Linked DNA regions of Mus musculus: regions 1, 3 and 4 are each reported to be linked to region 2. Evidence: microRNA targets listed by miRTarBase, many of them from high-throughput screens and not tested one by one. Region 2 holds a microRNA gene; each other region holds the end of a gene's coding sequence.
What was found. Region 2 holds the annotated microRNA mmu-miR-24-3p (UGGCUCAGUUCAGCAGGAACAG, at 4,743-4,764, opposite strand). A microRNA usually pairs through its seed, bases 2 to 8, with sites in the 3' UTR of a target mRNA and lowers its output. Matches are read on the target gene's strand: a 7mer-m8 pairs with bases 2 to 8, a 7mer-A1 pairs with bases 2 to 7 and ends in A, and an 8mer does both.

Region 1 (7,119 bases), not on the chromosome of region 2:
ATTCACACCTGGACCATAATACAGTCTCAATAAATACCTCTCTTCTTTCTTCCTTCAAGACATTGAGCCTTACTCTCAATTGGTGATCCCTTGTCAGAACAAGAATAAGGCTGCCCTGCGTCAGTCTCTAACACCCTACCTGGGAAGAGACCTTTCCATCTGACCCCACCTCCCCTTTTGCAGGTGGGCTCATTTCCCAAAGGCAGACCAGCCAGGAGTGCTGAATGCGAATTCAGCCACGGGCTAGAGAGCATTAACCAAAGCCTGCAGGATGGACTTCGTCATGAAGCAAGCCCTCGGAGGTGAGCCTGCCACCTTTCCTCACCCCCACCCCCTACGCACCCTCGACCCACCCGCCTTCCCTGCCCCACTGACCACGCCCCCTTCCTCTCCTACCACTCCACATCCCTGCAGGGGCCACCAAGGACATGGGGAAGATGCTGGGGGGAGAGGAGGAGAAGGACCCAGACGCACAGAAGAAGGAGGAGGAGCGGCAGGAGGCCCTGAGGCAGCAGGAGGAAGAGCGCAAGGCGAAACACGCCCGCATGGAAGCCGAGCGCGAGAAGGTCCGGCAGCAGATCCGAGACAAGGTCAGCACCCCTTGCAAGCCCCACCTCTGACTCCCCTAAACCCCAGATCTCATCTAAGACCTGATTCTCCCCGAGCCTTACTCTCATCAGGAAAACAAGTGTCTTCGCAACAGTGCCCCCAAGGATTATACATAACTAAGCACGTAGAAAACGCAGCGCTAGCTACGGCGCACCATCGTATGCCGTTCATTTAGTGTCTAGTAGCATCACACTGCAGAGCACAGGTAGCCTTCCATCAGCCAGCCAGCCCTGTCACAGAAATGTGCCTCAGACCGTAGGAAGACATTCAACATTCAGAACTTTGAGGATTTCAAACGGATAAAGGGGTATTATTGGTAAGTGCGAGTTTTGAAAGAAACGGCAGCGTCCTGGTCTTTTATATCAGTCACCTGCTAAAGACTGGGCTCAGTTCTCCAGGGAAGGCAGCTTTCCCGGGGGAGCTTAAACGTGTTGATGAGACACACAGCCAACCTTCTGTTCTCTCTGACTTGACTTCATGCCCCTCTCTGTCCTCTCTCCCCCAGTATGGGCTGAAGAAGAAGGAAGAGAAAGAGGCAGAGGAGAAGGCAGCCCTGGAACAGCCCTGCGAGGGAAGCCTGACCCGACCCAAGAAGGCCATCCCTGCAGGCTGTGGGGACGAGGAGGAGGAGGAAGAGGAGAGCATCCTGGACACAGTGCTCAAATATCTGCCAGGGCCGCTGCAGGACATGTTCAAGAAGTAACCCATCCTCCTCCGGCCCCTTCCACGTTATGACTTTTTTTTTTTTTTTTTTTTTTTTTTGGTGTTCTTAGTCTTTCTTTTCTTTTTATTCAGTTAAGTCTCAGTTCCAAAGGGGAAAACCTTAGTCGACCTCTGCCCCCTTACCCTAGTCAGGGACTCCTCCCCTCTGCAGTCCCTGACAGACCCTTCATCCCAGGGTTTCTAGTCCTGTTTCACTCCCAAGTAGCTTGAAAAAGGAAGGAGGAGGAGGAGGAGGAGGAGGAGGAGGAGGAGGAGGAGGAGGAGGAGAAGGAGAAGGAGAAGGAGAAGGAGAAGGAGAAGGAGAAGGAGAAGGAGAAGGAGAAGGAGAAGGAGAAGGAGAAGGAGAAGGAGAAGGAGAAGGAGAAGGAGAAGGAGAAGGAGAAGGAGAAGGAGAAGAAGAAGAAGAAGAAGAAGAAGAAGAAGAAGAAGAAGAAGAAGAAGAAGAAGAAGAAGAAGAAGAAGAAGAAGAAGATAGCTTTACTCTAGCAGGGGGCATTGAACCCAGAGCCAAAGGCATTGGTTGTCCCTCCAGAAGAAGCCCATGGTCTATGTTAATGTGGTGACACTCCCCCCCATACATTCCTTCATGCTCCCCACTGCCAGGAGGACCACTGTCCCCAGCCAGCCAAAGTAATGACACATTCCAGCCTTGCCCAGCATGCTGACCTTTGGCCTCTGAACCCCCCAGTGGGAGTCCAGGTCAGGGCAGAGGCACTGAGTGGTCTGGCTCCAGGAAGGCTATTCAGAGGGAGCCTGTCCTGGAGAGCCTAGCCCTGAGAGGCTCTAGCTGGGTCTGGCCAGGTTAGAATCTGGGCAGGAGGCTTGGGCTCTCCTCTTTTCCTCTTCCTGGTGCCGCTGCTGGCCAGGAGCACACCTCTCCCCAACCCGACCTAAAGAAGCACGGCCCCGGCCAAGCCACTCCTTCCAAATGGATCCTCTTTGGACTTTAGCACATCTGTGGAGGAACCCAGGGCAGGGCAACACCCTTATTTCTCTCTCATCTGACTTAGGTCCTGGGACCCCACTGCCAGGCTAGGCCCGAGTTTGCCCAGCCAAGGGGCTGCCCAGACCCCCAGAAAATACTTGGAGCCATCGGGCAGTGGTGGCCTGTGCCATGAGGCTCCTCATTGGCACATCCAAACTGCCCCCATTTCCTGTCCACCCTCCTTCCCTCCATGTCCTGTCCATGTGCTTCCAAGTCCCCATTGTCCCCAGGAGGACTCTTCTTGGCCAAAGCCCCCAAACAGCTGGGGAGAAGCCAATTGCCACCTGACAAAAGACTGTCCATTCATCCCACTGGCCAAGGGTCAGCTCTCCTCTGGGATGTATAGGACTGGTATGTGTCCTCACGTACCACCTTGTCAAGGCTTCCTGCTCTGTGACTTGTGGAGAAATGGAGAGACAGAGGGGGAGGCGCAAATGAGGGATGAGCGTGTGAGTCCCCACACACTGGGTAATGCACGGCAGGCCCATCCTACATCTCGATGCGACTGTGTCTTGAGATTGCATGTGTGTGTGTTAGCTCTGTGTTGCAGGCTGTGTATCTGATGTGCCTCGTGCATATGTGTTTGTGGGATGTAGTGTGCCTGAGTCCCAGTTCATTTTCTCGGTATGTGCTAGCCATCTCGTGTGCTTTCAGATTGCATGTGCTAGCTTGTATATGCATGTACTTGCAAAACGGCATGTGTGTCAAGAGTGACAGGTTACATGTTAGCTGTAGACATGTGTGCTTGAGACAACTGTCACGTGGGCTAAGACTGGTGTTCATGTGTGTGGGTCTAAACCAGGAAGTCGTATGCATAAGTCGTACAACTTCTTTCTCAGAGAGCAAGAATTGGAGTAAGATGCTTCCTCCCCACCCTGAGACGGTTAGTCACAGATGGCCACATCTGACAGGAAACCTTACTTTGGCCTAGAGTCCTCCCACCCTTGGGGGTTTCCTACCTGAGGTCCTCAGAATGCTACTGGGACAGACCCAGGCAGTACCCTAGGAAGCCATGCTGGGCCCCTACCAGGGCCTATCCCAAAAGCAGGGGCCCGGGAGGGGGCGACTTGCCCTCCCCCGAAGCCCCTGTCCCACTGGCCCCAGTTTGCATTCTGCAGGTTTTCCATTTTAGTGGACTTACGCTTTTATTTCAGAGAAGACAGACGTCTTCCCTGTCCGTTTCCAATAGTTAAAGCCATATCAGTTAGACCGCAATACTTTAAAGATAAGACTAAACAATCCATATGTGTAGGGAACCAGAAAAGTCCCCTGGTCTCTCCCTCCTCTAAGGAGCAGGGCCTTGGCAGCTCCAGCTCCCGGGACTTACCCTCCTCCCACCCCCACCCTCTTGGGCCCCTGTGTCATCCCACAGGGGGCTAGTGTTTGTGTCTATGTCTGTGGTGGGGAGCCATCTTGCACCCCTATTGTCTGCTTGTTTCTGTTTCTTATCCTGGGCAGGATGGTCATTCTTCAGAGCCTTGGGGTCCTGGGCCAGAGACAGGCAGGGACCAGTCCAGGGGCCCTGGGCCTCCCTAGACCCTGAGTGTGACTTCCCCTTCCCCAACCCCCACCCCCTCACACACACCTTGAAGGCAGGGAAGGACACTAGTGTTTTAAAGGCCTAACCCTTCACAGATAGACCTCAAAGGTAATGAACGGCACAGTACAAAGCATCAGATGGGTAGTGGAGACCAAGACCTGGAGAGATGCAAATAGGCAAGGAAACCCAGCCACGCAAGAACCCGAATGGTCCTGAGAGAGCCCAGACCCTTCAACTGAAGTCCTTGGTGGTTTCCATGGCTCCTCTGAGCCCAGAGCGAGCTCAGGGCTTTTCAGCCTCACCCAGTGCCCCCCAGGCGGGGCTGGCTTAGTCTAGATTTATGTCTCCTTTCTATGCCCAGACAGCAGATTCTGAGGTCCTTTGAAGGTGGAGGTAAGAGAATTTCTACTTGATACATACCTGGTTCCACCCACACAAAGCCCAGGGAGATGTAATGATTGATATTTCTGACATAGCCTGGGCTATAGGGAGAAAACAACAGGCAACCCTGGAAGGATGCTGTGTACCACACATGCATGGGAGGGCAGAACTTGGGTACTTGAGCATTGGAAAGGATACATATACACACATAGCACATACATGCACACATTCACTCACATACATATACACACATACATACATCCATATATATACACACACATATATATACATACATATACACATACATAAACATACATATACACACACATATATATACATACATACACACATATATATACAAACATATACACACATATGTACACATACACACACATACATACACACATGCACACACACAGCATGGAAGATGGCTGGAGTGGGATGAGGCACATCACTGACAGGCATGTGTGCTCTTTGGGAAGGTCATCAGGCTCCTACACCTGGAAATCACCAGCAGTGAAAAGAAAGAGCGCTTCTCTGGGCCTCTGTGAAGATGACACAGGATATCCAGGGTACATGTCCCCCATTTCAGCTCCAGAGAGTGAGCCCTTAGCAGCAAAGCTCCACAGCGCTTCCTTCCATGGAAGTAGGAGCTCTATAGGCCATCCCAGGTAGGTAAATGAGAACAGGAACGAGAAGCCCAGAGACCCCTCACACATGGCAGAGCTGGTGAGCAAACCAGCCATCTAAAGGCCCATGGCTAGAGTAAGGGGGGCTAAGCATGGGGCTTCCAGCCCCGAGAGTGCCCACTATGAAGTGAGCAGAGTTGCCCACCCACAACTCCCCTTCCATCTTCCTGTGGTTTGGCCAGCCCCTGACCTCACTGGGAGACCTGGGGATCAGACTCCCTCCCATGGGGGATGCCTCCCGGCCAATGTCCCCTGCTCTAGTCCCCATTCCTAATGCCCTGCCCTTTCACCAGGGAGAGAGACCTGAGGTGCTCCTGCTGGCCCCGGGATGGGAGTGGGAAGTCCCACTGAGACCCAGGTGAGATGGACCATCCTGCTCATGTAGGGGAACCTCTTTCCCACAACTGTGCTGTGTCCTTGTTGCTCTGCTTCCTTTAAATGTGTCAGTCTCTGGGGGAGGGGAGGGCCACGCCCCCCGAACTCCCTTGAACCTGACCAAAAGCCATGGCCGTGCTCCCCACTTTGTATGATGCAAATGCTAAGATGATGTACAAAACCAACCATGATGACAAAGAAAAAGACCTTGTACAGCAGCTGTCCATCTGTCTGCTTTCTTCTGTCTGTCTGTCTGTCAGCACTGCCGGTGATGGGAGTCAACTAACACCAATGGTTAAGGATGCACCAAACACTCTCAGTCATACCCACAGCTTCCAGCCAGGACAATGTGGAAAAGACCTCAGAGATTAATGGAGGCCAGAGTTAGGGCTGGCCCAAGTTCCAGGATCGATCTATTTCCCAAGGCCAACTCCACAATCCTGGGGGGTGGGGGTGGGATGCAGGCTGACCCTCACTCACATTCCATCTCAGACTGCCCTGCTCCACTCTTGGGTGGGGCAGGGGGGCATCCTAAGAACACCATGAACACAATAGATGGGCAAATGTCTATCAGTTGTTCATTCTGCAATAGATGGGGCATCTGCTCCCTGCTGAGCCTGGGAGGCTTGCGGGAAGGAGGCTGAGGGCACACAGAAAGGACTGCACTCAGCCTTCCTCTTGGACACAGACTCACCTCGTTGAGGGCTCAGGCTAAGACCCCTTTCACTTCCTTGCCTCTGGTCAGACCGCATAGCCAGCCCAATGTGAGGCCCCCTTTCTCCTGGCTTCTCAGTATTTCCTAATGTAATGCATGGGTCTGTCCTCCCAGACTGCTGTACCTCCCCCTACCCCATCCTTTCCCTGGCACCCCAGCCCCAGCTAGAGCAGCTGTCTAAACTACAAACATGAATAAGTCACCCCCTGCCCCGCACCTTCAGCCTGCCTACAGGATAGTATCTACCCCTGGTGTGGGGGGGACAGCATCCAGATGGTCAAAATGTCCCTGTGTGATTGACTCCAGTGATTCCAACCTGCTAAGTCAGAGCCACACCCACTCCGGTGTTCCAGGGGCACTCAGCCCCACCCCCACATCCAATGTCACGTCTCATTTGCATAAATCTCCCTCTACCTGGAATGAATGGTTGCCCTCGCCCCTCCTTGTACCCTCTAAGAATTCTGGAGCTTCTCTAGATCTAGCTCAGTCGTCACTCCCCTCTGCAAAGCCGACAGAGATGGCTGCCTGTCTCTTGACCAGAGCAGTCTGCCACCAAGCACACGGAGCACAAAGCATTATAGCTTTGTGTTGCCATAAAAGCCCGAGCGTACAGACAGGCACTGTCATCCAGCAGAGCCATCTTGAGTGAGACACTTAACCCCTCTGAGCGTCCGCTCACACAGGAAACGGGATGACAATAATTATTCTAACCTCCACCCTTGTGGAGAGTAAGTGGTGTTTTGCACGCCTGTCCTTATCATCAAGTACCAAGCACTCACCGGGCTAGCACTGTGAACTCTATTTAAGGTATGATACTGCACACATCTCCCCCACAAAGGCAGTCTCTGTGAGGGCAGCACATTTGTCGCCTTCCGGTGACTGTGAGTCAGGAGTCTGGGCACAAGATTAGCTGGATTCTATGCTTTTAGGACTGCATAAGGATGCTAGCTAGCAAAATGCAAGCGAACTGCCAGCCACCAGGGCTGGGGTCCTCATCGGGAGGCTCAGCTGAGCAAGGATCACTTGTAAGCTCACACAGTTGCTGGAAAGATGCAGTTGCCGGATGTTGGCTGGAGAATATCCTCCATCCCTTGCCCCGAGC
Region 2 (7,119 bases):
CAGTGCACCTGGAATCCGTGCACTGGGAGGCTGAGGAAGAAATGAGACCCTGTCTCAAGACTCTGGGCCAGAGCTATGGCTCGGAGCTAGACTCGTTGCTTAGCAGGGACTGACTTTCCCAGTGGCAGTAGAAAAGGAAGGCTGGGTGTAGTTCATTTGATAGAGTGCAGATCTGGCATGCACCAGGCCCTGTGTTCTCTCTGGACATGGTGGTACAAGACTAATCCCGGCACTTGGGAGGTTGAGGCATGAAGACCAGAAGTTGATCCTTAGCTACACAGCAAGTTTGAGGTAACCCTGGACTATGTGAAAGCTTGTCTGGTCTTTTTTTTTTTTAATTAATCAATTTTACATGTATGGGTGTTTTGCCTGCATGTATATCTGTGTGCCACATGTGTACTTGTGGAGGTCAGATGATCCCTTTGAGTTATGACTGGCTTAAGTCACCACGTGGGTGCTAGGAGTCAAACCCAAGGCCTCTGAAAGGGCAGCCAGTGCTCTTAACCACTAAGCATCTCCAGCCCCATGAGACCTTGTCTTTATAAACAAAAACAAACAAACAAACAAACAAAAACTAGTTGGGCGTGATGACCCACACTTGTTATCCTAGCTCTTGGGAGGCAAAGGTAGTTGGATCTCTGAGTTTGAGGCCAAGTGGGGCTGCAGAGTGAGATTAACTGCACCCCTTCACATACACCCCCCCCCAAAAAAAAAACAAAAAACAAAAAAACTGATGAAGCTGGGAGGATTCAGAGCCAATGGTTGTAGGGTGGGAAGGGAAAGGGCAGGGTCTGGCTGCACAGATACACACTCTGCCCTCTCCCCACACCCAGGCCCACCAGCGCTGATGAGCATCATGAAGAACTGGTACTCCTTGTTCACCCCAGTGGAGGCGGTCACCATAGTGGCAGTGACAGGCACCACGCATGCCACTTTGCTGCGACTGCAGCTAGATACAGCTGGGCGAGAGGAGCTCTGGGCTTGTGCCCGCACCTTGGCACTGCAGTGCGCCATGAAGGATCCCCAGAACTGCGCCTTGCCAGCCCTGACCCTGTGTGAGAAGAACCACGCGGCCTTTGAGGCTGCCTACCAGATTGTGCTGGACGCTGCAGCCGGTGGCCTCGGCCACGCCCACCTCTTCACGGTTGCACGGTATATGGAGCATCGAGGCCTGCCTCTGCGGGCCTACAAGCTGGCCACGCTAGCCTTGGCACAACTCAGCATTGCCTTCAACCAAGACAGCCACCCTGCAGTCAACGATGTGCTGTGGGCCTGCTCCCTCAGCCACTCGCTGGGGCGGCACGAATTGTCGGCCATTGTCCCTCTCATCATCCGAAGCATCCACTGTGCACCCATGCTCTCAGACATCCTGCGACGCTGGACACTCTCAGCACCCGGGCTGGGCCCACTGGGGGCCCGCAGGGCTACCAAACCACTAGGGACTGACAGGGCACCACTTTGTCAGCTTCTGGATGCCGCAGTAGCCGCGTACATAACCACCAGCCACTCTCGCCTCACCCACATTAGCCCACGCCACTATGGTGACTTCATTGAGTTCCTGGGCAAAGCTCGAGAGACCTTCCTTCTGGCACCAGACGGGCACCTCCAGTTCGCACAGTTCTTAGAAAACCTGAAACAGACGTACAAGGGAAAGAAGAAGTTGATGCTGTTGGTTCGGGAACGGTTTGGCTGAGGAACTGCAGAAAGCCGGGAGCATGGGTGTCCCAGGCCCACCTTCCTCAAACAGGAGGCCCATGGCTACTTGCAGTAAAGTTACAGAGGTGGGAGGCAGAGGGTGACATCATTCCAGGTGTGTGCCTAGGAGTGTGCAGACAAACGGGACATGCGATCTGAGGATCCGAAGCCATACTGCTAACTAGACCCTGCAGGGAGTATGTGCCTGGGCACCTCACACGGAAGAAGCAAGCTCTGGCTCTTCCAGACTCCCAGGGTCAGCTGGGACTTCCAGGAGAAGGGCTGGGCCAGAGTGAAGTTAGGCCTCCAACTCAGTGCAGCAGATGCTCCAGAGCCGGAGCTGGCCGGAGCCTAGGCACTTCACATCAGGGTAGTTACTTCCCACTGTGTTTCTCCCCTCTCCACAGCTCAGGGCTCCTGTCCCACTGCCCTGCGCCCCCAGCCCCAGCTTTCCAGCACAAATGCCTCACCCCACTGAAGGATATTAAGAGGTCTTGGGCCTCTGCCACATACCTCACCCCCAAATACCCTTGTCAAGCCAGGGCCTGTCTTCTCTTGGGCACCAAGGTCACAGGGTAGGCTGGGGACAGCTCTCTGCTGGCCAGACCCCACCACTAGTAACTGGATACACAACTCAGGAGTCAGGCTGCCCTCCAGCCTGTTGTGGGAGGCACAGGCAGACAGCCAGGGACCCCGTTCTGTCTTCCTCTTGCTCTGCACCTCCATTTGTTTCCCCACTCCCTTAGTTTCCCCATGTCTGCATCTCTCTCAAGTCCCAGCTGCTGACAGGCCTTCCTGTATCCCAGGCCTTGGCCCAGGGAGGAAGAGAAGGGAGAGCCTCCACCCCAGACGCACCTGTCTTCTCTCTTGTATATTAAGGAAAAAGTTGGCATCATTTTGTAACTTTTTTTCTTATTTATTGAACCCCATACTGTATTCTTTTCCTTTTTTTTTCCTTTTTTTTTAAAAAAAAGATTGAACACAACTTCTTTTTAACTTCAAGACTGGGTTGCATTGCTAACACAAACACCCGGGGCCAGGGGTACCTACCACCTGCTCAATTAACCAAAAAATTTTCCATCTCGGTTTTTGGGCACAACTTGAATGGGACAGGAGAGGCTGCTGGTTTCTTCATGGCATCGTGGTGACACGAAGAGCCACCTCTTGCTGGTGGCTTTACTGCTTTTCCATCTGCATGTCATAATCTCTGCAAGTCAGGAGGCTTAAAACGCCCAAACCTAGAGTCTGTAGGTTTTTGGAAAATGCACCCAGATTGCACTGTCCTTCATTGCAGGAAATGACCACCAGGGGGCGTCTGGCTCCAGACAACGTCATTCGGAGCTCCGGAGGTCTCACCAGGTGCGGAGGGCAGCTGGGGACGCCTGTGTCCCCAGTGACCTGCCCATTGCATTTTTGGGCTGTGGATGAGACTCCCGTTCTTAGATGGATTCATCCAGCGGACGGCCTGGGCATTCTTCTCATTCTCCGGTTCTTTATGTCCTTAGCTGTGTCTGACAGGGTCATTGTTTAGGACCGTTCTCTTGGAAGCTGTGTGTGTGTGTGTGTTGCCTCTGTGGGGCACTATGGGAGCTGGCTGTGACTATGAGTGTGGCCATAGTTCATGGTGCGTTCCTTTGCTCCAGGGAGCCGATCAGAGGCGATCCGCCCCTTAGCCCTTCTGGCGCAGACGGGCGCGCGCGCGTGCGTGCGTGCGTGCGTGTGTGTGTGTGTGTGTGTGTGTGTGTGTGTGTGTGTAGACGGGCGCGCGCGCGTGCGTGTGTGTGTGCATGCGCGCGTGTCTGTCTGTGCTCGCATATGTGCCCGTCCTTAAGCCCTGTGTGTGTGTGTGTGTGTGTGTGTGTGCATGCGCGCGTGTCTGTCTGTGCGCGCATATGTGCCCGTCCTTAAGCCCTGGCATCTTGCCAGTCAGTGCATCCCAGCATAGGCAGAGTACATTCTTGTAACATACTCCCTCATGGAACTGGGGTGACCACAGATTGGTCTCATACACCCCAGGTCTGGGTTATCCCTCCCGTTCAAGCCATCCCCAAAGGATCCCAGGATCTTCAGGTCGCAGCACCTACTGACCACAGAACTATATTTACACCTTCCTAGAAGCAGGTGGAGCAAGGTTGGGGATAGGTGCAATGCAGGTTAGGAGCCCAGGGTGTGGTAGATATAGTGGTGCAGCTGGTATTCCCAAACTCCAGACACTGGAGGAGTTTGATTCAAGGTCAGCCTGGTCTACACAGAAATGCTGTTTCAAGAGAAATGAAAAAAGCCAGCAACACACATGTGGGAGGCGGGAATGAAGAGACGTCAGCCCTTACGGAATGAGGCTGTGGAGCTTTTATTTAGTTGGAGAACAACATTCAATACAAGCTTTCAACTCTGTTCTTCCACCCAGGCTTCGATTTGCCCCTGCCCAGAGTAGGGAGAGGACACTGTATGGTCTGGGAAGTGTAACTCAGCCAGTTCCAATTAGTCTGCATGCAGTCTCATTTGTGGGTAGTAGGCAACTTTTTAACTTCCAAGCCTGGAGATTACTTCAACAGGCCAATGGGGGGGGGGGGCATGGATCTGTTCATATCCTGAGGCCTGTGTGGACCTCGCTCCCTGCCTCGCTGTCACCAGCAGAAAGCTGCAGACCCCATGGGATTGCTAGGCACACTGGATCAGGTCAGTGCCTTCTTCCGGAAGCAGAGAGTTGGCATTTAACCGTTAGAGGGCCTAAAGCAGCTTCCTCTTGGGTAACTGACTTCAAAGATGGTATGTATAAGGGGTGGTGCCTGAGCCCCACCAGACTTAGGAAAAGAAGGGCTTCCAGGCCCTGAGGGGACATAACTGGCTTTTAATGCAAGGGTTACCCGCCCATCTATCTGCTTTGGGGAACCACAGAAATCTCAAGGTGGACACCCAGATGCAGGCTTAGAGGCTGAGCCTCCAGCAGACAACGGGGCTTAGGTTGGACTAATTACCCCATTGTTTCCAGGTCTTGCTCACGGCAGACATTCTGCAGGGTTGCCAGCTCCTAGGGGGCTGGACTCCTGTTCCTGCTGAACTGAGCCAGTGCACTGGAATCAACTGTTTCAGCTCAGTAGGCACGGGAGGCGGAGCCCGGAGAGAGGCAGAGCCCTGCCAGCCAGGAGGCAGAGCAGGGTGGGCAGCAGCGGCCTGAGGAGATGGGGTCCAGGGGGCGGAACTTAGCCACTGTGAACACGACTTTGCTGTGGACCTTGCTCACAAGCAGCTAAGCCCTGCTCCTCAGGCCAGTTGTCATGATAGGCTTCTCTGTTACCCAGTACCCAAGACAGACATCCTTGGCGACAGGAGCCCCCAAGGCAGAGCACAGGGTCAGTTGGAAATCCCTGGCAATGTGATTTGTGACTGGCATCAAATCCCATCCCCAGGAACCCCAGCCGTCCGAGGCACAGTGAGGGGGGCAGCAGGTGGGAGCGGAGTGTAGCACCTAAAGAGAGAAAGAAGAGACAGTGAGATTGGAGCATTCTTGCTTGCCTGCCTATCTTGACCAGGCTGGGTCTCACATAGCTGAACACAAGGTTTCCGAATGCACCAGTTCTTCCTGCCTCTACCTCTGGAGTCTAGGATTATAGGTACACCTCACCACACACAGTTTAAGTGGTGCTGGGGACAGAATCTAAACTCAGCTTGCTGATCCACACCCTAGCCCTCCTCTACTTCCAAGAGGGAAGAAGCATTCCCAAAAAAGAGGAGCATCGATCCGTAGGAAGGTTGGAGCGAGGCTGCTGGATGCTGGGCACCCAGCAGTGCCTCTACCCCAGCCCTACAAAGCGGGAGGTGCCTGAAGCCCTAAGGCCAAAGGGGCTGCAGAGCCTTCCCAGCTGCTTCCCACTCTGCTTCTATCCCCACCCACAGCCCTGAGCCCAAAGCAGGCCAAATGGGGCCATGGAGAGGAAGCTGAGGGAGGTGGACGGTTGGAGGGAGGAAGTGACCTCACCCCAGCTGGCGCCACTTCCTAGAAGCCTGAAGGGCAGGAGGAAACTCCAGGGCCTCCCACCTCAGCCCTCTCCTCCCCAGCCAGCTCAGACATAACCCCACCCCCACCCCACACCACCTAGGGCCCAAGCAAGGAGAAGCAGGCCGATGCACCCCAACAATAACACCTCAGTAAAGTTTCCCCTAGGCCTTCCAAGCCTCAGTTTCCCCATCTGTAAAGCAGACTACAACAGTTGCAGTTGGTGGCTCACGTTTATCTCAGCATTGAGGAAACTGAGGCAGGAAGGTTGCCAAGAATGGAGTCAAAAGCCTGCTTAAGCTACATGATGAGTTTTAGGCCTAACTGGGCTACAGTTTGAGACCCTAGTCTTAAATAGAAGAAAAACAAAAATAAAACAACAAAACCCCAAACCTTCTACTAGGAAGGCCAGTGAAAACTTACAGAGAAGGTATTTAGCACCCAGTACCAGGGCAAGCCACAAAATTTGGGGCCTACCCAATGTAGAGTAGTGTCCTGCGTGCCAGTTAAAGTTTTCAGGGGCCAGCAAGCTGATCCAGCAAGTGAGCAGAGCTGCTATGGAGCCCAATGCCCTGAGCTCAAACCCAAGAACCACGAAGAAGAAAAGCATACGGACCCTTGCAAGTTGTCCTCTGATCTCTGCACTTGGGAACACACACACACAATTTTTAAAAATTGTTTAAAGAATTTCAATGTTGGAGAGATGACAGGTTTCTTTCCCAGAACCTACATGACAAGCACAGCTATCTATAGCTCCATTCCCAAGAGCTCCAACGCTCCCCACTGGCCCCTGTGGGTACCAGGCATACATATGGTGCACAGACGTACGCGTAAGCAAACATTCACAAACAGACAATAAAAATAAACTTAAGAATGGTGGTGCACACTGTTAGTCCCAGCACTTGAAAGGCAAAGGAAAGCAAGAACCAGGCCTTGGACAGTACTATCTCTAAGAGTTCAAGGCCAGCTTGGTCTGTGTAGGGAGTTTCAGACCATCCAGGGCTACATAGTGACACAAGTGACCTTGTTTCAGATAAAGAGCTGACTCAGTGGTTAAGAGTGGCTACTGCTCTTGCAGAGGGCCCGAGTTTGGATCTCAGCACCTGTCACAACTACCTGTAACTCCAGCTTCTGGGGATTTCACTCCCTCTTCTGGTCTCTGAGTGTACTGCACTGTCATGCACAAAGACCAGACAACACACACACACACACACACACACACACACACACACACACACACACGTCTTCTTTATAAAACATCAGGGTCGGGCTGGTGAGATGGCTCAGTTGGTAAGAGCACCCGACTGCTCTTCCGAAGGTCCGGAGTTCAAATCCCAGCAACCACATGGTGGCTCAAAACCATCTGTAACGAGATCTGACTCCCTCTTCTGGAGTGTCTGAAGACAGCTACAGTGTACTTACATATA
Region 3 (7,119 bases), not on the chromosome of region 2:
TAGTAATACAAAGCATTTTGGAGTATCATCATCTGTGATAATTTAGAATTGTATAGTATACAGAATTTAACGTATTATTTTAGAAGGGCTCTACCAGTGAAATTAATTCTCAAAAAAGGCCCTAAAAGAGGCTCCTAAAATGTTAAGTACGCACACTTAAATGGTTTTAAAATTGTTTGACAGTAGTGTGCTTTGTCTGGGGGTTGAACGCTTCTAGGAAAAAGAGAAGTGCTGACTAAGTTAGGCCTGTGCTAGTGAGAGTGGCCTTCTCCAAGCTAGTAAGTGGTATGACAAAGGTTTATTGTCAGAGCTTTTATTAGTGTTGTAAGAACTGAATTCTAAATGTCCTTCCCAGGAGTCTTTAGTGACATCCATGTGCTGGCTATGATGTACAGTGGAGAGATGTGCTACTGGGGGTTAAAGCACTGCACAGATCAGCAGTCAGAAAACCATGAAGTTGATACTGATGTTTTTGGAGCAAGCTGCACCACACACAAAGAAACCTTGGATTTCCGAGAAGTAGGAGAAAAAATTTTGAAGAAGTATGTGTCGGTGTGTGAAGGACCTCTGAAGGAGCAAGAGTGGAACACCGCAAACGCAAAGCAAATCTTAAGTTTCTTTCAGCAGCGCTGTAGCTAGGTGTTCATCTAGGTCTCAACTCAAATACATAAAGATGCTGAAGTGGGGAAGAAGGCTTTGACAAAGGAGATGTACTACACTGATCTTGAGACGGTTACACTACATAAAGGTGCCCAGTGCACTACGCTTCTCTAATGCTGTCACCTTTCCCTGAGTGGTCTTAGGTCTGTGAAGAATATTCTCTAATTTCTAGAATGGCATATATGCCATTCTAACTGAACTTGAACTACATATAAACCTGCCACTGGTAAGGAGGAACCCAATGTAGATGGACAGTTGTTTTCTAATATTTTAGGTTATATTTTTTATTGTACTAAAATATATGTAACACAGAATCTCCTTATTTTGAAGTATGCATACTTCAAAGATGGAAATCAGGTTTTCTCCTTGTTTCAAATATAAAGTATAGCTATAAATGTAGGCAATTAGAATATTGTGACTAATATTTAGATTTCATTTCCAGTAATTAAACAACAAAGGATTTAAAAGATGAAACTTATTTATTTTGCCATGCATTACTAATAATACTTAATTTACTTATCCATTTTATAAATTATTTTATTTTATTTAAAACAAAAACTGCATGGTTACTCCAAAAAGAAGGTAAATTCAGTATAGATGAGACCACCATTAGTTCAGATGCTTGTAGGGCACATCTTTGCATATAATGAACTTTACACATATTTTGCCTTTCAGTAAGACTGAAATGCTGAAGGCCAAAGAGCCTAGTTTGCTGTCTTGCTCACCTTTCTCTGCCTACCTCAAGTCTTCCGATGCACTAGACTTCTGTCCCAGTGACATCTTCACATTCCTGTCATTTCTGTAACTGAATCTAAGCATGAGCCACACTCAGTTTCTCTTTCTGAAGTCTTACATTTTAGTAACTGATGACAGTTCTCTTCTTTTCAGCTTTTAAAATTTCTTTGTTTTCATTGGTTTTTCTGTTTTCATTCTACAGCTTTCAACCTTTTCACGGGCTTCTCTAGACTGCTCTAACTCCTGAACAGCGACCTCTTTCATGTTTTTTTTTGCCCCCTACTTCATGGGGCATCATCACATGAATACTGGCCTCCCTTGTTTCCTCTCCTATTTTATCTCCTTGGCAGCATCATCCTTGGCAGGCTCTCAGCACTGCATTAATCTTGTCAGCCAGTCATTCTTAGGAGACTAAGTTTTATGGAAGGCATGCAATCCTTCAAAGTGTATTGCTACACATTGACTTCACTTAACAATCCTAACTGCAAAGCTACTAAGGTGCCTCCCCTTTTCCCACCATGGTAGAGTCAAAGTTCATTAGTCACCTCTACCCTTGCTCTTCCACAGGAAGTTTAGATTATGAGGGAGTCAACTCTATTTATGCATTTTTCTGTTTTAAAGGAGAAGAATTTGCCTAATTTCTGTTGAAGACTGATCTTTGTTATTTCTTCTTTCTCCTGTAGTTTCTCATTTTCTGCCTGTCCTCATGAAAGTTTCATTCTCTTCCTTCTCTTTTTCTCTTTACTCTAAATACTCATGGCAAGCAGTATTTCTCACTGCCATCATGGCTTATGCCACCTATAATGTTAGGCTGGTTTCCATGCCAGGAACTGGAACCCCACTCTCCTTGCTCTCTGAATTTCATTTTTAATTGACTGCTAAATGTCTTCACTTTGACAAATACTGACTGCATGGTCATTTTAAGTTCAATATGAGCAAATAACAAATTTTTATCTCTTATGGAAATCTTTTCTGCCTCATTTCCCTCCAATTTTGTATGTTTTCCAAATAAGCAAATAGAAGGCCTACTTTCCATCCTTATTTCTGCACACACTCTGATTTGTGTTCTAGACCAACGGTTTTCAGACATTAAAATGCGAGGTTCCTTTTTGATAAACAGAATTCTGAATAAGCAGTGGAAGCCAAGGGAGATTCCACAATCCCTGCCACAACTCTTGGCCTGTCTTTATACAGCCAAGATTTTTATGTAACCTAGCATTTTAGCAAGTTTTATTAGGAAAATATTGTAGCTTTCTAAATCTTTAATGTGAATTTTAGAAGCACAGATTTCTTTAGTGGATCATAATCAGTTAATCAAGTGCTTCCACTCCCTTTCCCAAATGCACTTATGTTTTACAACCATAGTACCGTTGTAGACGTCATTATTGCTGGACTGGTCTTTGTGGCCAGATAAATTACTTTACTTGTATGACGTACCTTTAGGAATACTGTGTCTAAAGGCTTTTTTCAGCCCTTTCCAGTAGAAATTAGATGTTCCTTTATTTTCTCGCTTCCTTTCACATGTCACCACAGTACAATGTGTTGTAATTTTTTTTCTTACTACTGAACGAACTCCATATCTTAAAATTTTATCTTTGCACACACTGTTCATTGCATGGTAGGTAGTAATGTCTTCTGAATTAATGAGGCATGATTTGAAATGCCAAACTTTGCACAAGACGGTTGCTGCTATTGCATTCCAAACTGCCATGCCCTCTATACCAGTGGTTGATATAGCAAAAGGGAGCATGTCTTCCTCGGAGGAGTCAAGTGTTACCTGGACACTAAACCTGAGAAAATAAGACTGTCTTCACAAGCTGAGAACTTCCATTTTTGCCTTTATGACCTTTGGGGGCTCACTGGTTGATACAATTATGAGGGTATTTCTGGGTGCTTTTTGTACAATTTACTCCCCTACCCCAAACAATTGGAGAGCAATTTATAGACCATAATAGTTGTAGTACTTTCTACTGTGGTGTTATAAAAGGAAAATACATCTTTTGGTATTAATCTTGATGAGTAAATTGTTTTATTTAGAATGAAGTAACCTCAAAATAACAAATACTCCACATAACAATAAGCCTATAATAGACCCTTTCAATAGCTAATATGTGCCTACAACATGCCATATTTTGTCCTAGGCACTGAGGATATAAACACCCTCCTGTTACAGGCTTTTAGTGGAGGAAGAATGTACAGTATGCCAAGTGATAACACACTTAGCAGGGTGTAGGGGACTATTGTGACGTGGAGATGGTGCTATTGTATTTAGAGTGGTTAGAAAGATCCATCTAAGCACTGTCTTCAATTTCCATCCTGTTTTTTCTGATGCCTTGTGTATGCAGTACATCTGAAGATTTTCCTAAGGAAGTGGCTCTTAAAACCTCCTTTTATTGAATCTAATGGCTTTCTCATTCGTGGTGTTTCTGATGCCTACAGCCTAAAGGTCTTGGGTTCTTTATTCACTTGAGGTGGTTTTCTGTCCACCGCCCAGTTCCCTTTTCTATCTTCTATACGGTTATTACATCTTTCCACAGAAACCAAAACTCTGTACTGTCTTTAGTATTACTTCCCTATTATTTTAAACACAGTATGAAGTAGCATTGTATGGAAACATTACAGTAAGAGGTACTTAATATAGACACAGCGTATGTATTATATCATGCTGGTGTTTGGTAGCTTTTGCTTTCCTGCGTCTAGTGAAAATTTATCTTCGGTTTGAATTCTCTGCTGTTGATTAAATGTAAAATGTTACAGGATTTTCCCACAATCCTTAAACGTTTATCACTCTTTACTCAGTGTGAGTTTTCTGATGTGGAGTAGACTTTAAGACTTGATTTAAGAGCCTGTCTCTCTTGCTATGTTTATAGGCTGTCTGGCTGCTGTGCATTATTTCATGTTAAGTCACATATCATGACATCCCCTTATCCTTTGCTTACAGTGGAAAAAGGTGAAAGTCATGACTAAGAGGCCACCATAAAAGATACATTCCCAGCCTCACAATCTTGTGCTCAGTCTTGTGATGTTCATTAAAGTATGAACTGTGTCTGAAGGTGTTTTCCAGTTATCTTCATGACATTTTAAATACCCACCGCTACTAACTTGGTCTGCTTGTAGATTGCTTGTCTCCTGGGGCCCCTTTATAACTCCATGAGGATATTTCATCTGTCACAGAGTCCAGGATTCAATAGTCCTCTAGTATTACTTACCCTTCATTCATTTACTATAAAAGGAAATAGATTATAAAAGTATTATGTCTACATAAGCTTAAGATAGCCAGGATTAAAAGTATTCATTATGTACTATGCCGGTGTTTCCTAGTTTTGTTTTTGCAAATTTTAGTGACATGTTCCAGCTACAGTGTTTTGGAACATATACTTAATAAAATAAAACGAAACCCCCCTACTTGTTTCTTACTTTCTTTTATATTTTATTCTTGCATCACTTTTCTGTCCTAATTTATGAATACCTTCTTTCTGGTCCTAGTAACTTTCAAAGAGAGTAGCATAATGATTCAGATTGTGAGTTCTTGAACTAGAAGGCCTGAGGTAAATCACAACCCTGTCATTTCCTAACTGGAACTGTGTCAATTGCTAAGTCTTTCTGTCTTTAAATAGTATATATTTTTAATTATTTTTAAGTATGTATAAATTGTGTGTGTGTGTGTGCATGTGGGTGCATGTGGCCCATGCCCGTGGAGGCTAGAGTCTCAGATCCCCTGGAATTGGAATTAGAGATGGTTATAAGTTACCTGATGGTGCGAGGGACTCCCAACTCCTATCCTCTGCAAAAGCAGGAGGAGCTCTTAGTACTGAGCCATGTTTTAACAATTCTATAATGAAGCTGATTTCTTCCTCGCTCAGTAGATAAGTCACATTTCCTTGTAATATAAAAGCAGTGGCATTTTCATTTCTTCATACTTAAAATGACTTATGCTAATTTTCTTTCTCTGAATACAAAACACAGTTTAGAGAGGAGAAAGGCCATATAAGTAATTAATTCATAAGTCTTTCCCCTTGTCCTGATAATCTGAGCAAGTGGTTGACCTACTCATTGCTGAGCAATGTCATAGGAAAGAATAATCATTTTTAAATGTATGCTCTGACAGACCCTCAGTTGCCCAGCTTCCAGCTTTATTGAATGTCTGTTACTTTTCATTTGGAGCTTCAGGTACTGCATTTTGAATGAAGGGCCCTTGTGAAAAGTGTCTAGGGTCCACTACTGAGCATTATGTACTGTTACATGCAGCTATTGCTGTGTTACTTTCATATTTATATACTAGCAACTATTTCCTGTAGCCTAGCGTGTTTTTAAAAGATGTGGCCTTTGCCTTCTACTTCGAAGATTGTAAAATGGTATTAATTTTTAAATATCCTATGGACTAGATGTAGAATGTTTTGACAATTGATATTAAACCAGTTGTATATAGATGATAAAATTTAACTGTTTTCCCAAAAAACAAAAAACAAAGCAAAACACAAACAAACCATCTTGGAATAGTAAGTGGTTAAAGGTTGACAGTGATTTTGAGATAGATTATGTGGGCTCCGCCCATCTTCCATGTTCTCCAGAACAAGGTTTACACCTCAGGTTATAACGTGGTGATCCTTACTAGATTATTCTAAAAGATTTTAAAGAATTTAACACGTGACTACTAAATCCGAAGTATTCCCGTGATGAAGTCTAGATGTGGAATGGGTTTGGGGATTAGATTAAGTGAGGTAATCTACTTTAAAGAGACTGATAACCTGCTACCAAATAGGTATTTGTGTCTTTCCTAAAACTATATCCAGTGCTATATAATATTTTGTTATATAGCCTACCTCTCATTTCTTAAATTTCTTTTTGATTATGATTAAAGTTACTAGAATAGACATCACTTTTGGAAGATTAAAAATTCACTAATGGCTTTTAATAGTACCACATCCAGGCTTTTCTTTCCTATCAAATTTTCTTCTGACCTTTTATGATAGATCATTGATTGAACAATTTTTTAGTGTATGTACATTTTTGTCGTGGGCTTAAACTCACCATTTTGGTAGAAAATACCTAATAATGGAGTTTGAGGAAGTAAATGCAAGCAAAATGTGAGTGGCCATGGCCAGAGATTGGATTCAGGTTGGCACACCAAGTTGTGGAAGCAGTTGCAAGAACTATTATAGCCACAAAACAAAGACCATACATCAAATACATATACCACCTACGCTGATGAGGGCATTATGTACACAGCCTAGATAAAATTGGCTACATCTTGCCTGGCTTTCAGATGTTACAACATTATTTACTTTAAAATCGGTAAAGGGGGCAGGTGTTTGAGAGATGGTTCAGCAGTTATAAGAATGTACTGTTCTTTCAGAGGGCCTGAGTAGGTGGCTCTCAAGGGTGTGGTTTCCAGTTCCAGGGTTTGTGATGCCTGTGGCCTCTGCTGGAACCTGAGTGCTCATGCATATATCCACATACATGTAGTTAAATAAAATTTTAAGCAAAGCTTACAAGTTTCACCCAACCTCATGAGGTTAGACCAAAACCAGATTGAAGTTAATATTAAAAGAGCTACGCTTGAGGCAGTTTTGGCTTCCCATCTACAATAGTTTCTCCACAGCACGATGTTCTAGTCAGCCAAGGTTATCTTTAATAACACATAAGGCTCCTGATAGCCTCCACGGGCTCAGTTTTTGCTCAACTCCAAGTGGTAGATTGCTGATTCCAAAACACAGAAGCACA
Region 4 (7,096 bases), not on the chromosome of region 2:
AAACATGACAGTTTTCTTATTCTGCAAAGAAATTTCTCTGTATAATAACAGCATAGATCAGTTATAATCAGATTATTAAAGAAAATTGGAGGTGGCTTTGCCTACATTAAAGGAATGCAGTGCATAAGTTACTGATTTTGGCCCAAACACTACTTACATTTAAATCATCAGAGAAATGAAGGCAAAACTCCAATGTCTTGATACTGATAACAGTTTTTGTTAAAAAACAAGCAAGTCAGGAACCAGGAAAGCTGGCCCGCCCTGCTTTTATCTCCGCACATAACCGGGCAGGCTGCTGCTCCTGGTGTTCAGCTCAGCTGCAGGATGGGGGTACTATCAAGGTTGTTCCAGGAGCAGAGAGCTCCTCGGAGTCGTGCCCACCAGCACATGGTGTGGCAGCTTCTTCACTGAATGGGTTAAAATAGATCTGAGCTGAACATGAGTGAACACAGAATCTTGCTTCCCTCAGAGGAAAATCCAGGCAGCTGTGGGGATGTATAACACATGTGGTTATTTTTAGTTGAGAATTAGTCTACTTGTAAATGAACTTAAAATACAGCCAGATCCAAGTAGCATCTTCGGAGTGCTGAGAGAAAGAGCGCGCACTTTGTCTCACTGTGACGTTGTTTCTCAGCCCCTTCAACTGAGAGTCTCTGCTGAGTGGAAGATTTGGACCATGAGGTGCCTCGGAGAAGTTCTGGGTTTTAACAAAATGGCGAGTCTCTCCGGGAAGAAGCCGAGCTGAGTCTGGCCCCGTTCTTGGTCATCTCAAAGCCATGCCACATGGAAGCATTCAGTCACTCCCGGTGTGCGTTTGGAGGACATCCAGCTACCCACATACCAGCAGCCAGGCGCCAGTCGGGTCATGGTGGGGCCGCCTCCCGCTGCCTCCTTTCCTCTTCCTTCTCTCTCTTCAGAGCTGCCATCATTAAAGAGCCAGCTTCCATTTTCAGACATTTTCTCTGATACTCTGCTGGCCTGGTAAGCCACACGAGTCCATTCTGTCACAGAGGATTCCCTCTTCCGAACGATAGCCTGGGGTAGTGGCAGAGGCAGGACAAGGGCAGGCTCTCCAGCAGCCTGTGCCTTGGTTTCCTTTCTGCCTGGGAAGGGGATGTTGGACAGGCAGACACAGTAGCAGGTCTGCTGCCTGAGCTCCACCATCCAGGCATCAACAGCAACCACCACAGTGAGCTGCCTCTGGCCTGGGGTCATCTGCATCACCTCCAGAAGCAGTGGGCATAACGTTGTGAGTCCTTGGAAGATGCGGGGACAGCATGAGAGCAGGAGTTTAGCTGATGTCAGGAAAGGCCTAGGGGAAGCCAGCAGCGCTCGGAGTGTGAGCATCTTTCCCTGGAACGAGAGAAAGAGGAGCCTAACTTGCTATGGAAGCACTTAGGTTTCCAGGCCTGGAGATCTGTTCCAGGTCTGTTTTTTTAAGTCTAGGAAAGTCTTGCTGACAGCTGTTTGTAGGAAGGAAGGTGGATCGGGGCTGCTGCGGCTGCTCTGTGTGAACTGTTTGACTTGATGCTGCTACCTCTCGTGGTGACATTGTTATAACACCCTGGAGAGACCCGAGTGCTCATGGATGTCCCTTAGCTGCCTTAGTCGGGAGAACCATCATCATCCACTCGGTGGACCCAAACCGCCATCAGCCATGTGACTTCCTAATCATGGGTTTCTTTTGGTTGACAAGTTCTGGCTCAGGTGTAAAAGCCACACGAAGAAATGAGCTGTAAGCGGTGGCATCACTTTGGATACTTAGTTTAAAAGTATATGTGTGATTTTCTATGTTCCAAAACTATCATGAGTTTTTTGGCCCGAGCAAGTGTAGACCTCCCCTTCCTTTGTGCCCAGACTGTGACTAGTGAGCTGGGACAGTCTCTGTCCAGAGACCACACACACACAGTGAGCTCTCTTCCTCTCCTGGCTGAAGAGGCTCTACATCATTCGATCACAGTTTGCTCCCCCTCAGACTCGCTGAAACATCTAGTCCTTCTCTGAAGGTCTTAGGTGTCGGGGGCCACCCCGTGTTGCCCGTTCCTCCCTACCTGTCAGGACCACTGCCATATTGATGCAAGATATTTGACAATTGATACAGGACAGACACGAGCCACACAGAGCCGGTGTCTTCTGTAGAATAGTGGTGGGCACTGCTGTTCAGGGCCTGTGGGATGAACGTGACCCTGCTTCCGATCCCAGAATGGCCTCTGGAATGTGGGTTTGTCTGGTCTTTACTCATGGGAGATGTGCGTTCCATCTGAGCAGCCACCCTGGCTTGCTCTCAGGTAGCACATACTGCAACAGGTGGGTTTCCTAGAAATCAGTGGACATTCAAGTCTCTGTTAGCCAAACAGCCCAAGCATGTCACTTGAGGACAGATTTAATAAGCATAGCCTTGCCCACCTTGGATTAGGAGCCGGCCTGTCAGTGGGAAAGGTTTTTGATGCCTTCCTGGCCCTCCTCACACTTCTGGAACTCGAGTCTTTTCTCACTGCTTGCATTCTCTGGGAACACCCCTCTCTTCCCGGACTGGTTTCTCCTCTGTTTTTCCTGCCACCTTCTGTGTAGGGAAACTGATGACTGCTTCACCCTGCCCTGGCCTCAGTGCACTTGAGAGACATAATGGTGAGGACCCTGACGTATGAGGGAGCCAGTGACTTGTCACTGAAACTTACTCTTCCCACACGATGACGCTTGTGCAGCCTCCTGTGAGCTATGCCCTGGGCTGGAGGGTGGAGGCTGCTCTCGCCCGCCCTGAGCAATGCACTTGTGGAGCCTCATGCCCATGTTTGCACTGGTCATCTCTTCTATGACAAGGGTCGCTCTCAGACACGTCTTGAATGTGGCCAGCTAATGTCATGACTTGCTGGTAATGTCAGCTGGTGGTGTGAGTGGAGTTGGGGGGCTGGGACTCAAGAACACGTTAATTGAAGCCTTGGCTCTGAGGGAAAAGATGGAGGGTTCCTAAGTGGCCAGTTGCTTCCCGATGACCATCAGGGAAGGGTTGCTGTAGAGAAAGGTGAAGAGCTGGAGAGACGGAATGTGCAAGTGCCAAGTGTGTTTGGTTGCATAACACATGCAACTTGGGAAGCTTTGTCAGGAGGCTCCGGACTTTCCCACTCCCAGCCCCATGTTGGGTCTCCTTAACCATGAAAACCTGTCTTCCCGATAGAGGGAAAGTGAACCATCTCTCTCCAAAAGACAGTTGCGGTTTCTCATTGTCGGTGATGGAGCAGACTTTTAAATTACTCACTAATGTTGGATGAAAATGTGGTATTCACTAAGTTCCCAGCCTGCCCAGACTCTGCAGAGTCTGTGGTTTATGATCGTCCAGAAAAGGACAGTTCCTAACTCCACTTTTCCTTGACCTGCTCAGCTCAGCAGACCTGCTCCTTAGTGGGGAGGCAGGGGTTCTCCTTGTATCCTGTGTAGTAGGTGCAGTGTCTGTCCTGCCTCTCCACTTGTCCTGGGTTGTAGTGAGTAGCAGACACACTGTCTCCTGTGTGTCTCCCACCACTGGGCCGCTCGATGTCCCTGAAGATCTTTTGATGTAATTTAATCGTATGGGTGTTTTACCTTCACACAGGCCTTTGCACCACATGTCCCCCATGCTTCAGGAGATCAGAAGGAATCCGATCCTCCTGGAGCTGGAGTTACAAATAGCTGTGTGCTTCCATGTGGATGCTGGGGATTTAATTGAACCTGGGTGTAGCTGGTCTTTGCTACTTTGTGGGTTATTTTCTCACCCTTTGCTCCCTCTCCCAGTTTCACTCCTTGACACTAGATAGGACAAAAACGGGGGGCGAGAGGGAGAGGGAGAGAGAGAGAGAGATCGAGATCAAGAGAGACACCCCTGTATCTAAATTCCTTTCTTCTTTGAACACTACGAAGAAACCACAACCAACCACACACAACTCCCAAACAACCAACAACCACCCATCCTGCTTTTTGGGAGCCTAGCATTTATAGACTTTCTGAAAAGTTCCTAGAATTCCAAAACTTGACACAATGCCAGAGACTGTCTGCAGCTGGCAAAACCACACTTCTGCTAGAGCACTAGGCAAATCATGTCAGCTGCTGCCGACACTCCAAAGCAGCCCCACATCCCCACACCTGGGGACTAAAATGATAACATATTCTTATATTTGTTTTTTAAAGAAACCAGAATTCCAGAGTTCTCACCACGATTCCCCACTTCTGTTTTAAGTCATTAATTGTGCTGTGTATATCAGGAAATTATAAACAGACATTTTCAAGGAACTGAGTGTTCAGGTTAGTGCCAAGGTGTTGAGGAGACCTCTCCTGCTCGGTCCTAATCTTTATCAGTTTTGATGGTATCCACAGCTTTTCGTTTCCTGTGGAAGTATAAACAATTCCCCATCCCCAATGCAAAACTTTTCTGTTCTAATATTAACACATCTTTATTCTATATTGTAAAAAATTCAGTTTTTCCTCTCGGCCCCTGCTCCAGGAATGACCACTCCAAGACTCCTTATTATTAAATGCCTTGGCCAGAAGCCTTGCCTCATCCATGACTGGCTCGTAACCTATTCAACCCATTCAAACTCTTCTATGTCATCCTCATGGTTACTTCTCCTCAGTCCCGGCTTGCTTCATCCTTCTCACTACCTCCTCCTTGTCTCACTATCTCCCAGAATCCTCTCTTCCTGCCATTGTCCCACCTCCTATTTCTTGCTTCAGCTCATTGGCCATTGGTGGTTTTTATTGACAAGAGATGCTAATAAGAGATTCTACAGTACATAGGCTGATGTAATTCCACAGTTTTTTTTCTAAAACCCAGAGTATCTCAACTGCTGCTGTTCCTTTCTCATTAATATTCAGAAAATTTAAAGTTAGCAGAGAGTAATTGTCTCTTTTTTTCTCTTTGCTTTATAAGCATTTCCTTTAGGTAAAATGAGATCTTTCTACAACTGCCTGTCCTGTAGGATTGCATGAATATTAATCTGAGCACTGCACAGTTGTAGAAGAGCCCTTCCCCATAGACTGATGGGTCGGTCAGAGTCCTTCCCCATAGACTGATGGGTCGGTCAGAGCCCTTCCCCATAGACTGATGGGTAGATCAGCCACATCAGGTCTTAGCTTTCCTGTTAGACCTTCTGGTCCCACACATTTCACCCATTGCACACTTTGTTTTATCTGAGATAAATTTCCGATTCCTAGAAACTGTATAAACCTTCCAAAGTGGCCATTCTGAATTCCAAGATTTTTTTGTGAACTGATAGTTACATCAGCGCCTGTATCCACAAATTTGTCTACTTCAGTACCTTTTATGTGAAATTTTAATATTTGCCTCTGATCATTAACAACTGTTTGCCGGAACACATGCTTTTCAGTCCTTTCAGACCCTCCTGTTCTCTCTACTGGAGCAGCTTTGTCTCTGGGACAGGGAAACAGTAGCAGCCGAACAAGCCTCTATCACCTGCATTAATTTGCATCTCTCTCCCTCTCCCTCACACACACACATGCCATAACTTTAATTTCTCCTTTGAAATCTTCATGTATGATTCCTGGGTGCACAGTGAATCCTTGGGGAATCAATCCATCTATTCTCAAGATCATCCCACTGTCTCTGCAGGCAAAGGAGCACGAACTCTCTCGAAGTTTTGGATATAGAGTAATGCTTTTCTGTGGCCGAGTCTAGAGCAGCACTGCCTGCAGAGGTGTTAGATCTCCAGTGCTGAGTGCAGGTTTTAGTCTGCGTGTTATGGCTTGACTGGAACAGCTCACAGTCTTTGCTTGGTGGGGAGCTAAGCTAGGCCCCCAAGGCTGTTTCCTTGAATATCTCTTTTGGATCTGCATTCCGGAATCCAGTGGCTGCCTTTGCCAAAGTGCATACACATTGCAGGAAGCCTACGAGTCCTGTTTCAGATTCAGGAAAACCATTGCCTCTAGAAATGACTGATTCACTCTTCTGCTGCAAAGTACTGTCTTTCTCCCAGTTAACGCACTGGGTGGGTATTTTGAGGTCAGAGATTTTTAGCTCTAGCTTGGCCTGTTCTATTAGCGTGGTACACATTAGAACCAATATCGATCACATCCCTTATCCATTCTGCCATAGACGCTTGCTCGAGCCTTTAACGTTTCGATAACTTTTTTGCATTTGGTTATTCGCCTTTTCAACAACTAAGGCCTCTATCAACACCTGCCTTCATCTTGATCTGGTACGGCTTCCTTCACAGCTGAGACTAATCTTTGTAATCAGTGAAGGCTTCTCAGAAGCCCTGTATAATCTTTATAAATGAGGTGGTCTTTTTCCTGGGCCCCTCAAATTTGTCCCAAGTTTTAAAGCCACCAAGCAACATTGTTCAGTAGTAATATTATGTGATTGAACCTGTTCTTGTATATCAGAGCCCTGCCCTTCACCCAGCAATGGTGGAGCTGATGGGATTCGGCTCAGAGAGCTGCCGCTGGAGCTGCTGCTTGTGGTGCTAAGGACTAGAGAATGATGGGAAAATCCTACACTGAGTGGCTGAAGCAAGGCAAGCTCCAACAACTTTGTTTTCTCCTTCAGCTCGTTTGTACCCAAAAGTGGTCACCACAAAACACTTTTGAAAAACATGTTAAAATCACTACACAAACTGAAATTACAACAGGATTACTGCTTGCATATCCTTCTTTTGGAACTTTGACCTAACTCTACATTCCTCATCTGTCTTTCTCTCCACAAGTTCACTGCCACCCCAAAGCAATAATTCTCTTGTCATAGACTAACAAAGCTTAAGCAGACCAAGTAGAGAGTAGTATGTTTCTCCCAGTGCTTAGATGGTGACAATCTTGTTTGCTAAGGAACAGGTCATCTGTCTTGCATCTTGTTTTTGAAGTCTTGGTCAGCTAGACTGGCTAGTCCTCTCTCTCTGTTCTTACATACACAGTGAAGTCCCCTGCTCTTCGTTCATGACCTTCCTTCTCATGGTGCACACAGAAACCAGTGCCACACCTCTGGATCACAAGATCAAGGAACTTAGACCCAACCTGGAATGAATGTCTTGTTTGATAATTAACTTGTCCCCAGCCTGTTTTTCTTGCTCCTACAATCGCGCGCTTGCAACGCTGAGGGCTCACTGGCGCCCTC

Region 1: the mRNA of Cplx2 is a reported target of mmu-miR-24-3p. Seed matches in the 3' UTR shown: 7mer-m8 at 4,123-4,129.
Region 3: miRTarBase lists AW549877 as a target of mmu-miR-24-3p. Seed matches in the 3' UTR shown: 7mer-A1 at 1,479-1,485.
Region 4: the mRNA of Slc4a8 is a reported target of mmu-miR-24-3p. The part of its 3' UTR that is shown has no 7-base or 8-base seed match.

What each region holds. Positions count from the first base shown.
Region 1 is chr13:54,378,398-54,385,516 of GRCm38, forward strand. It overlaps Cplx2 (complexin 2), which reads left to right. Exons shown (of 4, transcript NM_009946.3): 2 at 184-302; 3 at 415-590; 4 at 1,115-5,520. The coding sequence starts at 272. The coding sequence ends at 1,312. All of the region lies in intron 1 of LOC115488208 (a long non-coding RNA gene), which reads right to left. Among named protein-coding and RNA genes, the nearest start is that of Cplx2, 11 kb to the left of the region's middle.
Region 2 is chr8:84,206,520-84,213,638 of GRCm38, reverse strand. Mir24-2 (microRNA 24-2) reads right to left here and starts at 4,824; the gene lies at 4,718-4,824. It overlaps Zswim4 (zinc finger SWIM-type containing 4), which reads left to right. Exons shown (of 14, transcript NM_172503.3): 14 at 834-2,697. The coding sequence ends at 1,693. It overlaps Mir23a (microRNA 23a), which reads right to left and starts at 5,121; the gene lies at 5,047-5,121. It overlaps Mir27a (microRNA 27a), which reads right to left and starts at 4,967; the gene lies at 4,881-4,967. It also overlaps Mir3074-2.
Region 3 is chr15:3,979,716-3,986,834 of GRCm38, reverse strand. It overlaps AW549877 (expressed sequence AW549877), which reads left to right. Exons shown (of 6, transcript NM_145930.3): 6 at 356-4,800. The coding sequence ends at 639. Among named protein-coding and RNA genes, the nearest start is that of Fbxo4, 3.7 kb to the right of the region's middle.
Region 4 is chr15:100,814,985-100,822,080 of GRCm38, forward strand. Slc4a8 (solute carrier family 4 (anion exchanger), member 8) reads left to right here. Exons shown (of 25, transcript NM_021530.2): 25 at 635-7,096. The coding sequence ends at 647. It overlaps Gm41401 (a long non-coding RNA gene), which reads right to left and starts at 648. Exons shown (of 3, transcript XR_875664.3): 1 at 158-648.